Linked DNA regions of Mus musculus: all the other regions are reported to be linked to region 1. The links are microRNA targets in miRTarBase. Many come from high-throughput screens and were not tested one by one. Region 1 holds a microRNA gene; each other region holds the end of a gene's coding sequence.
The links. Region 1 holds the annotated microRNA mmu-miR-3083-5p (AGGCUGGGAAUAUUUCAGAGAU, at 3,775-3,796, shown strand). A microRNA usually pairs through its seed, bases 2 to 8, with sites in the 3' UTR of a target mRNA and lowers its output. Matches are read on the target gene's strand: a 7mer-m8 pairs with bases 2 to 8, a 7mer-A1 pairs with bases 2 to 7 and ends in A, and an 8mer does both.

Region 1 (7,492 bases):
GGCAGTGGGATTCTGGGGACTCCCAAGTAAAGGCTGGCGAGAAGGGGGGGTGGGGGGGAGGTGAATGCGGATGAAGCTCAGCCTGTCAAGAATCGAAGGAACAGGAGCTTAGAGGAAGGGAGCCGAAGGTCTGCTGCTAGGGAATTTGGAGGGGCCGAAGGGCTGAAGGAGAATGAAAGTGGGGGGATGCCAAGCTCCGGCTCCAGCTCCAGAATGGCTGCCCAGGCCTGGGCTCCCCCCTCAGCCCCACAGTCACCACTGCAGCCAATGGGGGGGCTGGTGCTGCATCAGGGGCGGGGCCACCATCTCCATGGCAACAAGAAGCTACAGGCTGGGGGGGGGGGGTGCGACCGGAAGAACGGCTTGTTAACCCGCTAGGTTCCAGAAGAAAACAGTGAAAACCCCACTACATTTTCATGTCTGCTTCCAGACTGCCCACTGCCTCAGAGCCGGTCCTTCCCTGCTCCTTTTACGGACAGATTCAGGTTTGCACACACAAGCAAGTCTGGATCCCGAGACGAGAACCCTCTCAGTCTCCCAGGAATCGTGTGTAGAGCACAAAAATACAGCAACCATGTATATCACAGCCGCATTAGGAGAAATAATAGGAAAGTATGTGCTTCGGGGAGACGTACAGACAGCCTTGAGCATGGGGACCCCCACATGCCTAGACATTTGTGAGCACTGCCATGGGGTAGACACACTTGAACTCAGACAGCCACATGAGAACTGCTGGAGTGGACTCTGCGGCCATCATGTGGGCAGTACCCTACATAAATGGACATGTAAACCCTGAGACCCATGCTTAAGTAGGCTGTAGCCCCCTGGGTCGCCCCTGCACCGTGTACACATACATCCTGACCATGGTCAGATAAAGCACAAACACTCATCCTTCACATTAACAGTACAAACACATTCATTGACTCGGGACAGCTCCCTCCTCTCAACACCCCCCCCCCCAGCTTTCTTCTAGCTTTTCCATGACTCTAATCACCAGCATCTGTGATGGCTACCAGGAAAACAGAACAAATAAAACAAAAAAATGAGGAGCAAATGTGTTAGTGAGCCTTGTGTCACCCAGAGCCCCGCATGGCTCCCTCCTCATCCACTCTTCTGCATCTCTCAGGTATGGCTGCCTTACTCTCACTCCAGGGAACCTGGGTCAGCCATTATTTTCACACACATGCATCTCTAATAAAGGCATAGAGGCCTTAAGTTTAAATCCACTAAAACCTTCTTTTGGAACTACAAGCATTTGCAGAGGGGGCAAAATCAGCTAATTGCTTTGTACAGTTCCTGGAGGAAAGACACACCATATCAGGACCTCAAAAATAAGTCATAGGTGCATGGAGGCCACACACATGTTCCCAAGGACTCTGACACAAGAACGAGGCAAAAAGCACAGGAGAGGGCAGACTGACAGGAACATGGGGTGTCCTGTCATTAGTGCTGCCTGCGGTGACATAGACAGAGAAAAGCACACAGCCATGTACACACAGCAAACCTGAAAAGCACACACTGCCATGCTGGGTCTCTATGTCCCATCCCTGCATGATAGATACACTCAAGCACACACACAACAGCCACCTACACAGACCCGTAACATAGGCATTGTGCATACACCCACACAGTACACACCCTGCACACACACACACACACACACACACACACACACACACACACACACAGAGCAAGGGCTTGGACTCCGCCTCTCCAATGTCTCTAATCTTGACATCACCCACAAACATTTCTCCTACCCTCCAATCCCCCAAATCCCTACCCTACGTGTAGCCTTTCTTCTCCATATCCAGCTGACAGCTCTCAAAGGGAGCCAGGGAGAGAGGGTGCCAGAGGAAGATGAGGAGCTGGGCTAGAGAGGGAGCAGAGAACCTGGGGGGAGGGCACGCTCTGCAGTCTCCGTGGTGACAGGCCTCACTGGGAAGCAGCCTCTGTGACTGGATAGCCTCCTACAGACGGGGCAGCCTAGGCCCTCCTGCATCCACTTCTCTCCACCCTCTCAGAATGCTCCACAGAGAGGCCTGGCTCTTCAGCTACCTCCCAACTTCCCTGTCCTCTGCCCTCTTTTCTCTAAGTCCAGCTCAGTGCTCTTAGATTCCCATTCTCCAGACATTCTCTCTCCCTTGCTCTTTGCTCTCCTCCTCTTGGTGACTCTCATCCTTACTTCCCTCTACCCCTTCACTTCTTTCCCTTCAAGCTTTTCTGTCCCCATCTAGGGGCCAGGCAGAGAGGCTCATATCTGCCTAGTCCAAAGGTGTTTCATGCAGTCAGACTGTAAGGAACCATTCACACACTTTGTCCTCACCACCGGAACACTGGCATACCACCACCCACATCCAGACACGCCCTGGACACCCATGCTGGGACTGACACAGATTCTCAGGCCAGTGTTGGAACACACATGCAAAGACACACACCTGCCACCAGGGACACTGAAAATTCTCATTTGGCCAGCCACACATTCCTACACATCAACCTCAACCGGGGACATGCACACTCAGGGTCAGAGGTGACATGAATTAGTATGTCCACAGACTGCCCCATAAACCGGTGGCTGGCCCCACAGGCCCTCAGGCTGTTAACTGGCAGAGGCGGGGCAAGACAGGACATACCTGCACAGTGCTGGCTACACGTGTGCAAGAGGATTTGGGCCCCATGTGCACATGCACCGACACACAGGGGCACAACCACGGTCAAGATCACATACGCAAACACCAGGGCTGGCCCTCCAGTAGGGCTCCAAGACCCCCTCACACCAGCCGCCCCCACGCGCGGTCACAAGCAGGAAGCTGCCCAGACCCCCTCCCTCCCGACCTCTACTGCCCCCCCCCCCCGCTCCGGTTACCATAACTCCCCCCACTCGGAAGATGCAGCGAGAACATGCGGAGGGAGCAGCTGCCGCCGCCGCCGCCGCCACCGCGGCCTCCCCAGGCCCCTCCCGTACCCACGCACACGCGCGCCCCCGCCCCACGCGCGCAGCCCCCCACGCGCGCGCTTCGTCCGCCCGGCCCCGCCCTTACCTCGCACCGCCCCCCGGGGGGTCGAGGGTGTCCCCCGATGGGGGAGGGGCCCGCTCTGCGCGGGGGAGGGGCGGGTGCGGAGGGAGAGGGGGCGGCGGCCCGGCTCGCGCCGCCCGACGCGGTGGGGCGGTGGCGGGGCCCGGGACGGCCTGGACGGCCGCGCGGTGACAGCCGCGGGAACGGCTCCCTCCGCCGCCGCTCCCGCCGCTGCCGCCGTTGCCCGGGCCCCGCCGCCGTTGCTAGGCGACCGCTGCTGCCGTGGCCGCCTCTGTCACGAGCCCCGTCGCCCGGAGACAGCGCGAGAGAGACGGGGGAGGGGGACAGAGGGACCCCCAAAACCAACTAGGCCTCCCATCATCGCCTCGTGAACAGGACCCCCACCCCCAAAAAGAGAGAGAAAGAGAGAGCTAGAAACCCTTGAAGGGAGTGAGGGTTTGCAGCTCCACCCAGCAGAGGAGGAGCCCTAGATTCCAATGCCCTCAAAGGTCCGGCGACCTCTCCCGGGCTGGAGCGTCCACAGCCTCAGCAAACACCTTTGCAAAGTGGAGCCCCCCCCCCCAATCCCAAAACCCTTTATGTCCCCTGCACATCCTCCATGCCCTTTACACATTCTATTTTCCTCAGAAGATTCCAAACACTCACCACCTACTAACTTCTAATAAACCCTGCCTATATATATATATATATATATATATATATATATATATATATATATATATATATATATATAAAGTAAAGGCTGGGAATATTTCAGAGATATATATGTATATCTCCGAAACATTCCCAGCCTTTACTAAGCCCCAATACAGTCAGTAACCTTTACAGGCCACCTTAACTTCACCCTAAACACAGGAGACCCACACCAAAGGCCTCAGCACTCTGAGGACTCTAAGGAAACAGAACTGTGTGGGCAGAGCGGCCAACTGCCAACAGCAGGACACATGACAAACACGCTCTGTGAGCATGTTACCATTCCAGTGCACACAGGTACACACTGCACAAACAAAAAACATGCCTGACATGGACTCGACAGACAGACATCACCCATTCTCTATACACTCTTCACCACAGCGGCCTCCTGGTTAGCCTCAGCGTGCTACCTACACCCTCATGTCAGTTTCCATGACAGTGACATACATCCCTGACCACCAGCCTGGGGTGCCAAAGCTGGCCCCCAAGGGCAGTGAGGCCTAGGCCTATCAGCAGGCAGCTGGCTGGATAACAGGGGCTTCTGGTTCTCTAAGGAAGCCTGTAACCCTGGGGAGGAAGAAATGGTGGGATAAAGGGGTCTCATGGGGTTGGGTGGGCGTCATGGAAGAGAAATGCTGAGGAACTGGGCAGTGGCAGGGGGCTTCCGGGGACTGAGGGCGTCTCTCTGCACCTTGGCTGCAGATCCCTGTTCTCTGCCTTCATCTCCCCTCACTGTTCCCATGGAAACCTTTTAAGCGAACTTCTCAGAGGAAGACAAAAATCTTTTTTTAAATGACTAAAGAGGGGGGTGGGGGGCAGAAGGGAGGAGGAAGGGGAAGAGACAGATGGAGAGAGGGAGAGAGTTGGAGAGACAGTGAGGAGATGGGGGTCTGACGGAGTTCCCAGAGCAGAGGGGAGGAACACGGGGATCAAGGGGAAATGGAAAATGAGAATGGGGAAAATCAAGAAAATAGGGAGTGATACGACTGCAGAAAACGGAATCAATTGAGGGGGAAAGATGAAGGAAAGGCCACAGGCCTGAAGATCTGGAAAAAGATGGGAGCTTGCGAGCGGGACTCGGGTCTGGGGGAGGGCAGGGAATAGGTCATTCCAAGTTCTCAGAAGGAGGATGCGAGGGCCTGGGCCAGGAGCACAGACAGGAGACTAAAGATCTAAGCAGATTATTTTTACAAGCACCAGGGAAACAGTCAAACTTCACTGCTGGAGAGGAAAGGGGAGCAAAGCTAAGCAGTGTATGGACGCGCGGGGGCCGCTCACCAACAGCCCCGGTACCCCGCGCAGCCCGGCAGCCCGGACGAGGGCGCCCTGTCCTCGGGATCGGGATCGGGATCACGGCTGCTCTCCGCCCCCGCCCGCGCTCCCCGAGACTGTCCGGGGCACGAGCCTGCTCGGCCGCCGTACCATGCTCGCCGTGGGGCCGCCCCTCCACTGGCACAGAGACGGTGCGTCTCAGCAGTTTGTTTCGGCTGGACTCGCTCCTCCGGTCGCGGATCAGAAGGGGGTGTATCTAGGGGATTGGGGAGTGTGTCAGACCTCACGGGCCTGCGCCATCCCTCCTTTCCCCTTTCATGGAAGGCCGGCCCCTTGCCAGCCCACCTGCCCCTTCCACCCCTGCCCATTTCCCTTGGCCCTGGTGAGGGGACTTCTCGTTTCCCTGCTCTCCCTCCATTTCTCTTCAAACAGTTTAGAGAATTCTCCCAAACCCCACTAGCGCTTCCAGCAAATCCACAGGAGTTAGCTACCTCCTGAGTCTGGTTTCCCTGTGACCTTCAGTTCGTCCATTTTCCCCCGCTTCCCTCCCAACCTCCTACCTTCCTCGCCCCCTTCTCTCTCTCAAGCTTGTCACAGCTGCATTTATAATCAGTTCCACAGCTTGTCTCCCTCCCACAGCCCGGCTTGCGGCCAGACTGGGACCCAACCTCCCCTCCCCCAAAAAGGCCTGGTCACCTCCCCCCACCCCCCTTTGCATCTTCTTCCTTTACCCTCTTCCCCTCAGCTCTACCTTTCCCTAGGCCTCACCTCAGCTCCCCCTGGGAGTCGTCATCCTAACCTCCACCCCTACCAGAAGCTAGACTCCCACGAGGCCCCAGCCCCACCATCCGCCCAATTCTAGCTCCCAAGGGCCTTCATTCTTCCAGCTCCATCTTCGCCTTCCCACTCCCACCTTCCTACCAGACAGGCTATTCCTGTTGGCCTCGGGTGGCTAGTGGGTCCCCTGTCTCCATGTCTGATTCCTTCCTTCTCACTGCTGCACTTCCCACTCCTATCGGCTCTTTTTCCCAGACCACCCAATGGACTTCAAATCCTTAGTCAAGGCTGATGACCAATAGCAAATCACTCAAAGGCCTTCCAGTATTCCAAACTTAGGTCCACCAGGCCACCTCTCCTGCGGCCAATTACCATGCTCCCTGTCAGACACTTGTAGTTCATGATCTGGACATTCTCTGTCCACATTTTCACCTGACTTCAAGGCTCCTCTACACCCTGGTTAGCCCCAAATCCAGCCCAGCCCCCACAGTGTTTAGGCACAACTCTCATTGCCTCTACTGGGGCACCCTACACTCTCTGAAGATGGCTCCCCAAATCACAAATGGGGGCCTCACCCTTCAGAATTGGGCCCATTCCTACTATGGAACCAACACCCTTTAGACTCTTAGACCTCACATGACCACTAACCATCTCCTTCCAGACGCCCTGCCCTGGCCATTCCACCTCCTCACTCTGGCTAGTCCAAGTCCTGCTCCTGTGCACAGGTCCCCACACTACAGTTGTCTACCTCTTCCTTCCATGTCCTCTCCTGAAACCCAACCTTCCCTGTAGAGGCAGAAGGAAACCTAGTCTGAAGCTCACACCATTTTTGTTTCCATTCATGCCAAAATCCAGTGACCCCTGTGGTCTGTCAGTCCCTCCAGCCGCTCCCACTTCTCCTGACTTTCCTCAGGATCGCCTAGTCTTAGCCTGCACTGTGCCCTGTGATGAAGAGCTAGGAGAGGCGGGGAGGAGAAAGCTGAGGACCCCTTTGGAGGAAGGAAGGCCCCCCTTCCTCACTTGCTTTAAGCTCTTCACTTTCCTTCCCCCATAATATGGATAGGGTGAAATCAGTAGGCACCCTCACGACTTCAGAACCATAGCTCCTCCGCAGCACTTCCAATGGCCTCAAAGACCTTCTAGTGGAAGTCAAAGAAAGGTTGTCTATCTTCTTAACACCTTGGCTGTGTACAACAACCCCAATGGCCGCCCTCCTCCCACCTCCTGTCTCTTTTCCTTCCTGTTCTTAGGGCTCTCTCTCTCTCTCTCTCCCGCTCACTGAAGAGGACTCTCCCCATCGTCCTCTCTCCGTGGTCAGTCTTCTCCGCTTGCCCCACCTCCTCCTCACCCCGCTCACCTCATCCTCATCCAGCATGAGCAGCTGGTTCCCCGAGATGATGCAGAACCGAGGGTTCCAGCCAGGACGATCGTACGGGGAATGAACGTATTGGGTTCGGTGCATAGGGGGTCCCCGTACATCTGGGGGACAGAGACACACAGACAGTGAGGGAGGGTCTATACGCTGGGTGTAGAAACCTAAAGTGGGAAGGAGAGTCTGCAGAGAGGGAAAAGGGGCACCACCCGCCTGGAGAGGTCTTGGGTCGGGGGATGGTCCTTCATGCTGAGTGGCATCATGGGAGGTTCCAGGAAGGGGATGAGCGTGGCTTCAAAGATGAGAATTAGTCACATGACAGAGAGGGACTTTACTAGGGGCA
Region 2 (7,492 bases), not on the chromosome of region 1:
CTGGGCTGGGGTTGGGTTCCTAGCTCACAACTCTGCGGGACCACAGTTCCGGGACTCTAATCCATTTTTCTTTAGATGCTGGTCAGACCCAGGCACGCTCTTTCTAGTACTATAGACTTTCTTATTCCTTCTTTAAACCTCCTCCTGGTCATGATGTGGCTGAGGTCCAAAAGTCAGCTTAACTCAGGCAGTGTGACCTTTTGTTTCCTTCCTTCTCACCATCGGCTGGGATGTACAACTTGCCTGGTATTTTACTTTTAAACCCTAATAAAACTGTCCTTGAGCTTGGGGCAACATTCCCAGGGCTGGATGAGCTCCAGCTTCGATGTTTGGCAGATCATTAACAGCTGACGTTTTCCGAGACCTGCTTAATGAGAACTGCTCCTTACTGCGCAAATGGTATGTGCCAATGAATACTCTTCTCCGTGTGCATCTGGTGAGCTCAGCTAGAATAGAAAAGCCTGCACGGGATGGTGTGCGAGCTGAGTTGTCACAATTCATTCACTTCGCAGATACTTCCGAAGCACTGCTTACACTGACTAGACTGGCCTGGTTCAGTGATAATGAGAAAACATGAAGACACCTGCTCCCTAGGAGCTCACAGGCTGGAAGGAAAAACAAGAACAAGACATGAATAGAAGGCATTGCATATACATAGCAGAAAAGTGTGGCCTGCCCTGCAAGAGGCCTGGGACCTCAGAGGGTGGAGTGGCTCTTCTGGCTGGGGGTTTGCAATCTCACAGAGGACCTGCTGGGTCAGAATGGTAGTAAACATGGAGAAGGCCCAATGCACAAGCCAAACATGGTCCCTGCTCTCGTGAGCTTACAAGCTAGCAGTCATATTAACCAGGAATAGGAAGTAAGAGTACAGCGAGGTGTGCTGGGCTCGGGGCATGTGGTTTGCATTATACGAGTCACAGGATCAAACAGGAAGCACCCGTCTGAAAAGTTTAAAAAAAAAAAAAAAAGCCAGTTGCAAGGTGATGGAGCCACACTATCTCTGTACTCCCATCAGTAAGCCCAGGATAGCTGGACATCCTGTGTCCTGCTGCTGCTCCTATAGCCCGAGTTCCCAAGCTTCTTAAAAGTGACCCCACTGAGTGTGTTCTGACACCAAAATAAGGGGCCATTTGAATGACATGGTTCTAAATTGCAGGGCCAACTACTTTACCTAGTACTCAACCAAAGAAGCAGTGATCTCCTCCCACAGAGGCAAGAACTGACTGCAAGAACCTCATGATGCTAGCCTTCAATGTGGCGCCTGCCTTGGGATTTCCAAGAGGTATTTTGATTACTCAATTTTTACCTTGGGCATTGACTTATGATCTAACCCAGGAGTCAGCTAAGATTCCTTTATGGCAATACTGGGACATGCATAAAAGGAAACCAAGCCGGGCGTGGTGGCGCATACCTTTAATCCCAGCACTTGGGAGGCAGAGGCAGATGAATTTCTGAGTTCTAGGCCAGCCTGGTGTACAAACTGAGTTCCAGGACAGCCAAGGCTACCCAGAGAAACCCTGTCTCAAAATAAAATGAAATAAAATAAAATAAAATAAAAAAATAAAAGGAAACCAAAGTAGACAACTGTCTCTTAAAACCTTGATCATAAGAGAAATAAAGAAGGCAGAACTGCAACGGGACCTGAAGGCATACACTGTGCAGTCTGGAAAGCTAGTGAAATCAAGAGGGATACAGGAACTAGTAGCCATGAGGGTAAGGGAGAAAAGAGAACAGGTACAGATACTGTCAGAGACTATATCTTGACAGCTCCATAGGCTATCAAAGAAGTTTGAAATTTTTTTTTTTTTAAAGATTTATTTATTTATTTATTTATTTATTTATTTATTTATTATATGTAAGTACACTGTAGCTGTCTTCAGACACCCCAGAAGAGGGCATCAGATCTCATTATGGATGGTTGTGAGCCACCATGTGGTTGCTGGGATTTGAACTCGGGACCTTCAGAAGAGCCAGTCAATGCTCTTAACCGCTGAGCCATCTCTCCAGCCCAGAAGTTTGAAATTTTATTCCAGAAACAATGATGAAGTTCTGGAAAGGTCTCAAGCACAAGCATAGTTAAGATCAGATTGATATCTTAAGAGTTCATCTTGTTATACATGAAAATATGCCCAACATAGCTAGGCGTGGTGGTGCATGCCTTTAATCCCAGCACTCAGGAGGCAGTAGCAGGCAGATCTCTGACTCTGAGGCTAGCCTGGAGTTCCAGAACAGCCAGGGCTACACAGAGAAATTCTTTTTCTTTTTTTTTTTTTTTGTGGCTGGAGAGACAGCTATGGGTGCTAGGAACCGAACTCTTATATTTTTGGTTGTAAGCCTATTTCCCCAGCCTGAGAAATTCTATCTTTGAAAAAAAAAAAAGACAAAACAAAAATATTGTCCAACACATGAAACCCTATCTTAAAACCACAGACACAGACACAGGAGGAAGAGGAAGACATAATGGCCAACATCACTAGTTATTAGGAAACTGCAACTCAGAACCAGCTAAGGGACTGTGGATGGAGCCCAGTGGTACAATACTTGTCTACATCTGCAAGTCCTGGGTCTGGTCCCCTGCACTGCCACAAAATAAAACACAGCACATACACAATGAAACACACTTCAAATTAGTAAACAATATTGGTGAAGACTTGATAAACTGGAATCCTGATATCCTCCATGGGAACACAGCTTGGCAATTCCTCCAAAGACTAAAGGTAAGAGCTGCCTTACGATCCATCCATTCTATTCCTATACAAAAGAATGAAAACACGCTGGGTGTGGTGGTGCACCCCTTTAATCCCAGCACTTGGCTAGCAGAGGCAGGAGGGTCTCTGTGAGTTCGAGGCCAGCCTGGTCTACAAATTGAGTCCAGGACAGACAGAGCTTGTTACACAGGGAAACCCTGTCTCAAAAACAAAAACAAACAAACAAACAAAAACCCACCTCCACCACCACCAAAACCCCCACATGTCCATGAAGGAGAACATGAAGGGGTGTTGCACACACATATATACAGAAGCCTATTCATGATCGTCCTGACTAGAAATCACAGAACGCCCATTATATGCACTGTAATGAAATATTTAGACAATTTAAAAAACTGAAGAGAAAAGACAAAACAAAACAAACCCACTGGCAGGCACAGTGCCACACACCTTTAATCCCAGCACCTGGGAAGCAGAGCTTCCTCTGTGAACTCAAGACCAGCCTGTTCTAAGGGCAGCCAGGGCCACACAATGAAAATGTCTAAGCGCACACGCGCACACACACACACACACACACACACACACACAGAGAGAGAGAGAAAGAGAGAGAGAGAGAGAGAGGTACTCACTACTTGAAATGATGATATATACCATGGCACAGATGAACCTTAAAACTAAGTAAACAGACACATTGCACATCGCATATAACATTTATGAAAGGTCCGTTATAGGCAAATCCACAAGGACAGAAAGATTAGTAGTTGCCAGGTCTGAGGAGAGGTGAAGGAGGACTGCTAGTGGGAACAGGATTTTTCTGGTGATAAATATGTTCTAAAACTGATGATGATAATGGTTCCACAGCTCTGTAAATAGACGACAATCAAATGTACACTGTACAAGGATAAACTGCATACTATGTACGTATCTCTCAAGTAAAAATTTGCCCCCACTACAATGTGTAGAATGAAGAGGGAGGGTTGAGAGAAGCTGCCGCAGAAAGGAAAGACAGAAGCAGGGGAAGGAATCATGGAATTATGATAGAGGAGGGCCAGAGGCCATCAGGCCCCTCTACAAAGAAGAGTAGTAGGAAACAAAGATGAGGTATCTGCAATTATTATGAAGCAGCAAAAGGGCATTTAATAATCTCCTACATATAAAGACTAACCCCACATGTACAGAAAGTGCCCTGAATAAAGTATACCCAGCTGCCTGCTGGGCTATCCTGACTACTGTCACTCCTAAGCACATAGGGTTCAAGGTGTTGAAGCTCTGGGCAGCTCTGAGAGCTGGCTGGAGAGAGAGATGCTGGGCAGACCATCACTTTAGGCAGTATGTACGTTTCTGGGTTGTCTGTGCTGTAAAAACTGCAATGCTGCTCAAGGGCATCTTTCCTGGTCAGCTCAAGGAGTTAGTTTTGAATACATACTGCCTACCTTCCATAAAGTCCTCCCCTCATCTCTAGCAGGAGGTTGACAAGTGCTCAAAGACCCTAGGCAAATGGGCCTGGGTTGCCAGATAGAACAATAAGAAAGCTGAGGATGGGTTGGGGCTCTAGACCCCACAGGCACATCTTCAACACACTGGGAGAACTGGAGCCTGTAAACGGATGGGGTGAGTCTCTGTTCACAATCTCATGGCCACCTTGTTCCCTGACACTTTGGCCACCTCAACAGAAAAACATGCTGCAGCCACAACTTCCAAGAATAAAATACCACTGAGAGATATCAACAAAGCCAGAATCTCTGCACCAGACCATTTCCTTGCTTCATGGGGAAACCAAGGCTCAGGCCCAGTGTGTAGAGTCCTGGTTGGCATCCAGGTCTCTGTTCTCAGGCCATTTTTCTTCTTACTCTACCAAAGTCTGAACCTCTAAGAACCTGACTGTAAGCTGTGAGCTACAAAGGGCAAGATAAACTTAGAAACCTTGGAGGACTTAGGTCTGAACTGGCAGAGAAATTAGAACTACCTTTTTCTAGGATCCTCAGAAGCCAAACCACTTTGGTTATATGCTCCCATCTTTCTGGGGGTAGGGTGGAGATGGGGGTGGGGTGGGGTTGCTAACCAAATGATACATATGATACAGTTTTGTTACGACTTAGTTCTGAAGTCTTCTGCTTCTTCATGTGCATCACTGTTCATTCACAGTGTAGGCAGCCACCAAGGGACACGTGCTCAACCACAAGTCAAGTGCTCTGTGACCTACTGGGCACAGAACAAGCCGAGCAGGTGAAGAGCTTGACATCCCAAAGGCATGCTTATGCACTCAAGTGAAACACCACTTTTAAGCCTGTAGAGCAATACAGTATTAAATACTATAAAGTAAAGTCAGATGAGAAGCCAAATAATCTACTTACTCCCTTTCCATGGTAAAATCATTTGAAAGGAGAATAAACATAAACTTACATTTTCTGAAACTACTGTCTTATTTGCTAGTTTTGAATAAGTCTTCAATAATAAGTCAGAGACACAAAGAGTGAATTCTCAGGGTATCATTTCTAGAAAAGTGGGAATAAACAAGAGCCCATCACAGATGGACAGCAGTTTCTTTCCTACAGTGGCCACAAAGCAAGTTGAACTCAAGTACAACAGACCATACAATTGGTACCATTCAAAATAATGACACTCCTTTCTTTGCCTTCTTCCAAAGTATATAATGTATATTTAACAACACAAAAGACACCACTTGAGCTTCCCCTTAGCCAACAGGAGGAATATCCACATATAAAAATTAAAAATTTAAACTTTTAAGTCATTAATAGTTTTTAAACATAATACAGACTTAAAAATTGTTCAACATCAACCCAAGACCCCACCCCTAAGCACAGAAATCAACTCCAAATCCAGAAGTCACAGTTGTTTGTCCCTAGAAGTCCTACAGCACTGAACTTGGTCTTTACACCAGGCTACCAGCCAGCAAAAGGCTCTAAAAGACTCCCCCCGGGAGGAATGGAAGCCACTGCTGACTGCTGCTGCAAGCATATCTACTCGGGAGGGTCTCAGGTCAGGTCTGAGAGACTTAGCCACCACACTAAGGCCCTGGAAGGCTGAGCTGGCAGCTTCCCTCATCTTCCCCCTCAAAGACTGTCCAGTAAGCACCTGAGAACTGACTTTTCTTGGAACAGGGTGCTGGCAAGATCTGTCAGGGCCAAGGCAACAATGAGAAGTTCAGTTCTCGGCTCTTTGGATGACTGTGTAAAACATTGCTTTTAAAAGACACAATGTTAAAAATATTAAGAAAATGTCTACAAAATCTGGAGGGTTGCCTTTAACTCCAAGGGTAAAGCTTGTGGGGTGGTGGGGAAGACTTGAGGACCCAGAACTGTAACTCTGCAGCACAAGACAGAGACACCCTTCCTTCAAAACTCATCACACTCTTAAGCTGTCCTACTAGGACAGCAAGTGTTCAGGGTGCAGGTAGGAGGAAAGGGCGCCAGCTCCTGCAAGGGAGGTTCCCACTGCACGCCCCACCTTATGTAAGAATGTCAGATTTAAGGGCAGTTGCCAAGGCCAGGGCATCAGGACTCTGCCTCTGAACCAGAGCTACTTTCCCGGCTGACTTCAATCTGGAGCGAAGGCAAGCTATCCAGCCGACTCTTCTTCTGGCGAGACTCTTCTTTCTCCTTGATCAGAGCACCCCATGCTCTCTGAAGCTCCGAGTCATCTTCCTCAGCACCAGATGCCCTGTGATCCACTTTCTTCGTGTTCTTTTCTTTGGTCTTGGGTGTAGATCCTAAGCGAGTCCACAAACCACCTGTTGGGGTGAGAAGACACTTCAGTTGGCAGTCGATGCCGAGTACCAAGTAGTTCTGTGGAAGTAAGGACACTGCCAACACCTGCTCTGCAGGAAACATCGGGAGAGGTGCTTGGTGCCAGTCTGTAAGTGGACAGCCTGAGACTCGATGGGAGATGCTCACAGCTCAAGGCTGGTGTCCCCATACCAGGCACAAACTAGACACTTGCCTCTCTCCCAGGCTGTGTACCCCTCAGTCTGCCAAGAAACCGCCAACTCTCACATTCTGCAAACTGAACGGGTCTGTTTTACTATGAGCAATTCTCAGGTTTTCAGCTATACATTTTTAAAGTGTGTTTATGTATTGGCTGAAGGCCTTATTGGTTAAGCGTACTTGTTCTTGCAGAGGACCTGGTTATGTTTCCAACACCCACATGGTACCTTACAACAGTCCATAACTCCACTTCCAGGGGATCCAATGCCCTCTTCCCACCTCCAAGGGCACCAGACATGTACACAGTACACAGACAAACATGTAAGCAAAACATAAAAAAAATCCCCCAAAAGAAGTGTTTTATTAAAACCTTACAAAGAAGCATGTGTTTAGAATGTGGTGATATACATATACTACAAGATAATTAAAGGTTTAATTTACTTATGAAGAGTAAAGCAAAATGGAAGAGTTATAGAAAAAAAGGCTACATAAAAAAAAACTAGATATATGTGTGAACAAAGAAACTAAATAATGTGAAACTAAAAAGCAGCAAGGATGTATAGCTTCTCCTTTCTCCTTCCTGAACTTTCCTGTAGGCATGGTGCTGATGCTGATGTAGACAAAGGAAGTCATGCTAACTGAAGAGGGAACAAACACAGACCTACCTACTTCTTATGCTATAACCACTGGTCTCCACTCCTTCCCTTCCATCACTGTGAAGTGTTACTCACCTGATTTCCTCTCCCGAGTATCAGAGTAGAGGCCTTTAACATCTTGCCTGGGAACACCTAGCCTACTATGTACATCTGAAGAGGGCTCTCTCCGAACCACCTGGTTACT
Region 3 (7,492 bases), not on the chromosome of region 1:
TCTCCAACCCCAAAATATATTCTTTTAAAGTATCCCTTCATGTTGAATAGCATAAAAGAGGAAGATAATAAAAACTACCTTGAGTAGAAGCTGCCGAGTTGTATTGCTGGAGATACTAATTAAAATATTTTAAAGGATATTTATTTATTGGCTGGTTGGGTTTTTGGTTGGTGGAGCTGTTGGTTTTGGTGGGGGGCATGCATTGGAATTTTTTTGTTTTGTTTGTTTGGTTGGTTTTGTTTTCTTTAAGGTATATTTATTTAATGGATGAGTGCTCTATCTGCTTGTATACCTGTGTGCCAGAAGAGGGCATCAGATCCTTTTATAGATGATTGTGAGCCACCATGTGGTTGCTGGGAATGGAACTCAGGATGTCTAAGAGAGCAGCCAGTACTCTTAACCACTGAGCCATCTCTCCAATCCTTTGTTTTGAGACATGGTTTCTCAATGTCCAGGAACTTGCTCTGTAGACCAGGCCAACCTGAACTCATAGATCTGCCTTTCTGCCTCTGCCCCTGCCCCAGCCCCAGCCCCTGCCACTCAAGCACTGGGATTAAAGGCATACATCACTATCCCAGCAAGGATATTTATTGACCCAATTATTTTCACAACAGAACTTCAAGAATTTGATAAGCTGGGTGGATTCACATATTATATGTGTTGTTAGCAGGATGTACATCCCAGATGGAACAGATCATGTAAAGGGCTTTCTGCCTTACCCATCTGAAAACTGGAAGTGACCTTAGTCACACCTGAACATGGAAAAATTGCCATGAAGACTAATTTATATATGTGTTTTCATGCCAGATGATGGTGGCCTGTGCCTTTAATCCCAGTACTCAGGAGGCAGAGGCAGGCTGATCTCTGAATTCAAGGTCAATTTAGCCTACAGAGTTCCAAGACAGCCAGGCTACACAGAGAAACCGTGTCTCAAAAAAAAAAAAAAGTGTGTGTGTGTGTGTGTGTGTGTGTGTGTGTGTGTGTGTGTGTGTGTACTAAAATGAACTTTTTAGTTGGGGGCCTTACCAACCACTTCATAAGCAAATTACCTATGACAGGGTAGTGTGGCAACTCTCATCCTATGGCCAGCTTTGTGGTAACTTATTGAGAATACGGTGGCTTAGATCGTGACAAATTGTGTGTTAAAACGTGTTTTTTTAATTATTGGATATTTTCTTTATTTACATTTCAAATGTTATGCCCTTTCCCAGTTTCCCCTCTCCCCTCCAGAACCCCCTATCCCCTCTCCCTGCTTCTATAAGGGTGTTCCCCCATCCACCCACTCCCACCTCCCCCCCCCCCTGGCATTCCCCTACACTGGGGTATCAAGCCTTCACAGAACCAAGAGCTTTTCCTCCCATTGATGACCAACAAGGCCATCCTCTGCTACATATTTAGCTGGAGCCATGGGTCCCTCCATGTGTACTCTTTGGTTGGTGGTTTAGTCCCTGGAAGCTCTGGGAGGAACATATATATATATCCTTTATTTACATTTCAAATGTTATCGCCTTTCTTGGTTTCCCCTACAACCCCCCCTATCCCCTACCTCCTTCCCCTGCTCACCAATCCACTCACTCCCCCTTTCTGGCCCTGGCATTCCCCTACACTGGGGCATAGAGCTTCATAGGACCAAGGGTCTCTCCTCCCACTGATGACTAACTAGGCCATCCTCTGCTGCGTATGTAGCTGGAGCCATGAGTCCCACCATGTGTTTTCTTTGGTTGATGCTTTAGTCCCTGTGAGCTCTAGGGGTACTGGTTAGTTCATATTGTTGTTCCTCCTATGGAGTTGTAAACCCCTTCAACGCCTTGGGTCCTTTCTCTAGCTCCTTCACTGGGGACCCTGAGGAACGTGTTTCTCAAGTGTGAAATAGATACGAGACTGCAGGGGAGAGTTCAGAATACCAGCTGAATGAGCTTAACGTGTAGACTTGAACTTGGAATGTGGTTTAATGACCTTGCTCTGCTGGCACACCTCGCTCATAGAAACTGGTCTGTGAGGTTCTCTATTGTGACTGGGACTCCAGGAACGCAGGAGGATTAGTCAAGCATTTGTAAGCCCTAGGCTCACTAACTTAAGTGTCCTGGTTAAGGGTTATTATGAAGTTAGACCTTCTATATTTCTTTGGGAGGCACTAAATTTTAAAATGCGGGCTTTCAAACACCTAGCTAGTATTTATGGTGGGGAACACAATTTTTAAATGGACTTTTCTAGATACACCCTTGGAACTCTGCTTTCATGGATTAGGAATCACATACAGTATTAGGTTTGATATCAAAATATTCTGCAAAAACAGTTGTAAACAAAGGATTAACAGGGTCCTCCTAAGTAATGTGAATAAACCACATCTAACACAATTTGTTTATAATGAAATTTACATCGAATGACTACTGTAATGACAGTAATAATAAAAATAAGAAATATGTTGCACAAGATAAGACTATTTCCAGGGCAGGATTCTTAGAGATATGACAAAGTGTGAAACAGTCCGAGCAAAGACAGCAAGTACCAAAAGACCAGAGGGGACACAACTGAGAGGATGCTCATAAGACAGTCTGAAGGCAAAGTGCACAGGAGAAAAAGGACGAGAGGCCAACATCAACAAGGGCCGAATAATGGACTGGTTTCAACGTCAGGATAACTTAGAATTGTCTATAGGACTTGCTTTGACTATTCAGGATGGAAGTGTCAAGGGATCTAGATAAACAATTCTGAAGGACCAGAGTGACTAGAGGCAAAGCAAGCTTTAGGGAATAATTCTGCGCCCCCTGCCCTCCGCTGTGGGAACCAGAAGAACACATAACAACACAGAACTTCAGAGGTTAGACCAGAACACAAGACATGACACTTCCCTCTTGTCCCATGGTGGGTGTGCTGAGCTACCAGGAGGCACCACGCCCTACTGTCTAATATGGAGGGGACTTTGAGTTACCCAGGCAAGGCTCCTCACACAGTTTCAAACTTTCAAGTAACGTATATCTCGTTAAAATATAACAAAAGACCCATGAAAGATTGTGTCCTAATGAAACGCATTATTTGGCTCAGATCTGGGCATGTCAAAGTATTACACTTAGTTGACCATTGTTGTTTGACTCCTGGAAGTTCACACGATGCAGATTTGGTCCTCTCTGTGGGTTTTTCAAGATGGTGGAAACTTGAAGAGATCCAGATTAATGTGAGGGAGTTAGGTCACCAGATACACTGTTCTGAGAAGGGATAAATGACGATTCCTCAGAAGTCAGTTGTCATGAGAATGATACAAAGGACATCCCCTGCACCTGCTTGGCTTATACTGTAGATGGCCACTTCTCTCTTCTCTGACACATTGTGAAACAGCCAAAAAGGCCCCGTTAAAAGGCCAAACTGATGGAGCTGCCTGATTCTCAATTTTCAGCATCCAGAAGGACAACCTAAACCTTTCCTTATGAAATACCTAGCCTTTGGTATTCCATTACAGTAAAAGAAATCCGACTAATCTAAGCAAGCGCAGTGCAGTAGTAGGATGGCAGTTATATACGTGTCCCTGTGTATGTATATCTTGCCTGATATACCCTTATAACCAACAACACGCCTGTGTCAGACAACAGGAGTTAGGTGTTTATACCACATGGGGGTGTACCTTCACCTTGTAAACTCAGAACAGATGTCAATAAGATTTTGAAAGAGCAATTAATTTTGAAGAATAGGGCTAGAGAGATGTCTCAGCGATTAAGAGCACTGACTGCTCTTCCTAAGGTCCTGAGTTCAAATCCCAGCAACCACATGGTGGCTCACAACCACCTGTAATGGGATCCAATGCCCTCTTCTGGTGTGCCTGAAGCAACTGTGTGTGTGTGTGTGTGTAGCAAATGAAAAAAAAAAAAAAAAAAAAAGAATGTTCTTCAGGTTTACATCTGTTCCTGGTCTTCCAGACAGAGTTCAGAGTGGATACTGAAGAATCCAAACAAAGGTGGTAGGATTTTAAAACTTCATCTGTGTCTGTGTCTAACACCTACAAGCCTTAAATACAATTAAATCAGCCAGGGATCTTTGTGATCCACCACCACCACCACCACCCCAGTTCTGGGAATAAAATTCAGGACTTCATGCATGCTAGACAGGCTCTGCCATTAAACCATATGCTCAGCTTGACATTTTTAGCTCTTTAAAAGGTATCCAGACAGGGGTATGTGAACATCTGTTCTTATGTCTTTCTTTACTGAAAGGTTACCTACAGATATAAGAAAATTCTCTGATGTTGTAATGCTGAGTTCAAGGGAATTTGATAAATGTACAGAGTATAATCACCTTTGTCACCTCAGCCACAGAACAGGTAACACCTTAGTGCCCCACCTGCAGCCGCTGACTGCTTCCCTGGTGAAGTCTTCACAGGTGACATTGGACAGCAGGCACTTTTCTGACATCTTCCTGATGCCTTGCACACTAGCATTTCTCAGGCAGTACTCCTTTCTGTTGCTGAGTTTTAATGTCTGCATAAGTCACAAACTGTTTATCCATTTACCTGCTAATCTGCACTTGAGTTTTTAATTTTAACTATTTTTAGTAAAATGGCTAAGAAAATAAAATGAAAAAATGGATCTCTCTCTTGGGTAAAATATCTAGTAATAAAGAACTACTACTATACCGAGAAATATTTGTACTAAGTTATCACAATAAAGGAAACAAATACTTTTCTTATGTTATAATAAAATTTATTAGCTGAATCTATGTAAGACATGTTGAAGAATCTGTAGATTTTCTTACCCTAAAAGTGGCAAACACAATCACATACATCCAACATATTCCAGGATAATATTTAAATATTGTTCTTTACAAATTCAATATATTATAAATCAAGTAACATAGCGCAGTCAGACTATTATTTAGACAAGTAAACCACACATTAAGAAATCGGCTGCATATGTAGCAGAAGATGACCTAGTCGGCCATCATTGGGAAGAGAGGCCCCTTGGTCTTGCAAACTTTATATGCCCCAGTACGGGGGAACGCCAGGGCCAAGAAGTGGGAGTGGGTGGGTAGGGGAGTGGGGGGGGGGTATGGGGGACTTTTGGGAAAGCATTTGAAATGTAAATAAAGAAAATACCTAATTTTTAAAAAAAAAGAAAGAAAAAGAAATCTGCTGTGACTTTTAAAAGAAAAGATAAAAGTTGAAGAATCTCTAATTTAAAAAGTAACACAATTTCTATTGGCCCATTTTTTAAATAAAAAATATAAAATGCCCAGGTTAGACTCCATTCTCTTTAATTAAAGAGAAAAAAAATGTGTTTCATTTGTCCTTAGGCTAATCTCCCATATCTAAGTCTCTAAAATATAAAACTTTTAAGTATCAGAATCCAGGGATATAAGCTTTCACTTTCAAAATTACATAGAATCCTAATGTTAGCTAATTATGATCTCACAAAAACCTTACCACTGAAGATATCACTTATTTAAATAATAATAATGCCATCTGCAGTTGTAAACTAGGTCATCATTATATAATACAAAAACTGACTAAAGAAAATTTCCAGAGCTCTTAAATAGCTATCTTTAAAAAAAAAATGAGTATTTTTTTATAATATTCTGGAATATAGAGAAAGATACATGAAAATTACGTCAAAGAAACTTCAAAAGCAACAAAGAAAAACATGTTTCTTCAAATTGCTTTCTTTCTTTCTTCCTTTCTTTCTTTTTTTCGTTTTTTTTTTTGGGGGGGGGGGTTGGTTCTTTTTCAAGACAGGGTTTCTCTGTGTAGCCCTGGCTGGACTAGAACTCCCTTTGTAGAATAGCCTGGCCTCAAAATCACAGAGATCCACCAGCCTCTGCTTCCTGAATACTGAGATTAAAGGCAAACATCACCACGGACTGGCTTCAAATTGCATTCCAAAGTTCCCAAGAAGGGCATCCTGACTGAACTAATGAAGATAAAATGTATTCCCTGATAAACTTCTGTAGCAAAAACTAAAACTTCAAGCAACATATAAAATGAAGAGTTTCCTGGTACCTATCATAGTATTTACATTCCCTTATCTCAAAGACCTGGAAACACAATGTCAAACTGACTGGTCACAGAAAATTATTCTAAAAGTACAAATGGATGTCACAGACAAGGAATCTGACAGTTTGACATCCCCACCCACCTCTGAGCCACCTCCTCCCACAGCACTGGAAAAGATCAAAACCGCCTGCCACAGACGGGGTGCCCAGGGTGAAGAAGGCGGGGACAGTAAGGCACGGAAGACACTGCCTGCCACACAGTGGCCACAGTGCACGAAGACACCACCTGTGTCCACCAGGCCCTGGAGCAAGGCTCTGTCTGATGCATCAGTGCACCCAGTCCTTTGGATGGCGCAACACTTCCAGAATTTCAGCTTCTTTGGAATTCTCTGGGGGAGAATGCATGTACTCCCATCTACGCATGTCCAAAACGAAACAAAAAAAAAAGCAAACAAAATAACAATAAATGACATACATAACTAATGGAGAATAAAACCCTAAGAGTAAAAACAATGCATAGTTCCTCCACCCCACTGTGACTACTGTGTCTCTACTATATATATATAAAAAAATCAGCTACTTAAGAGAGTAAATTTCTTAATAAGTCTTAGGAATATCTGGGTTAATACTAAGATCCTTTCATTACAAACTTGGGTTTCATAAAGTATAGAGCCTTGGGTAGTACACAGGTAGCTTAAGTTTTACACTACAAATGTATCTTTCTAGAAAGAAGGCTGTGAGGAAAGGCCAGACTCAGCTTCCCACTTGCTCTCTCCACATCCTCAGATACAAAGCGCATAGGACACACATCCTGTCACTTCTTACAGAATCCAATCTGGGCTTTATTCTCTCACAGTTTTCTTATAAAAATCAGACAAACATAAATGAAGTATTAGGTAACACCCTGTCAAGGCTAATGTGCAGATTCCATGGGGCACAGGAAGTTACTATGACAGGAGTTACTCACTATAGGACACTGAGTTACTATGACAGAGTTACTATGTCAAGGGTTACTATGACAAATCAGCTTCTTACCTTGCTGTTAGAGGTAAAGACATCAAGATACTTTCGATCCTGGATCCTGGAGTAAAGAGGCCAAACTTGGTGCCCCGATCATACAACAGATTAAACTCCACATACCTGTCAGAAAGACACCAGATAGTCGTAAAGGTGTGTTGAGCGAAACTTTCTAGAAATCCTTAAGGAAAACGAAGAGTGGCCCTTCTCCCCATATCTCATACCAACTAGCTTACACACAGCACACAGCTTACACAGCCCAGCGAGCCCTCTCCTCTGGAAAGCGTAAATAAAAGGGCATTCTACCCGCCAAACAATTGGATGCAGATTGTGCCCAACACAGAGCCCAACACAGAGCAACCACAAATCAGCAAGGTTATGTTCTCCCCATGAATAAACAGTGCAAACACAAATTGGGACCAGGCACGCACAACAATTAAGAAAGAAGCAGCATTGTTTCCTGGGTAACCCAGCCTGGGTCCTCACTGTTGCACAGGCA

Region 2: miRTarBase lists Ncbp3 as a target of mmu-miR-3083-5p. Seed matches in the 3' UTR shown: 7mer-A1 at 3,996-4,002 and 7mer-A1 at 2,277-2,283.
Region 3: miRTarBase lists Cpox as a target of mmu-miR-3083-5p. Seed matches in the 3' UTR shown: 7mer-A1 at 5,738-5,744.

The regions. Positions count from the first base shown.
Region 1 is chr17:26,944,397-26,951,888 of GRCm38, reverse strand. Mir3083 (microRNA 3083) reads left to right here and starts at 3,770; the gene lies at 3,770-3,833. Syngap1 (synaptic Ras GTPase activating protein 1 homolog (rat)) reads right to left here. Exons shown (of 19, transcript NM_001281491.2): 2 at 7,135-7,256; 3 at 5,151-5,256. It overlaps Gm51291 (predicted gene, 51291), which reads right to left and starts at 3,829; the gene lies at 3,773-3,829.
Region 2 is chr11:73,077,908-73,085,399 of GRCm38, reverse strand. Ncbp3 (nuclear cap binding subunit 3) reads right to left here. Exons shown (of 13, transcript NM_025818.3): 12 at 7,384-7,492; 13 at 1,821-6,459. The coding sequence ends at 6,224. Among named protein-coding and RNA genes, the nearest start is that of Itgae, 8.9 kb to the left of the region's middle.
Region 3 is chr16:58,677,569-58,685,060 of GRCm38, reverse strand. Cpox (coproporphyrinogen oxidase) reads right to left here. Exons shown (of 7, transcript NM_007757.2): 6 at 7,012-7,116; 7 at 4,670-6,391. The coding sequence ends at 6,304. Among named protein-coding and RNA genes, the nearest start is that of Cpox, 11 kb to the right of the region's middle.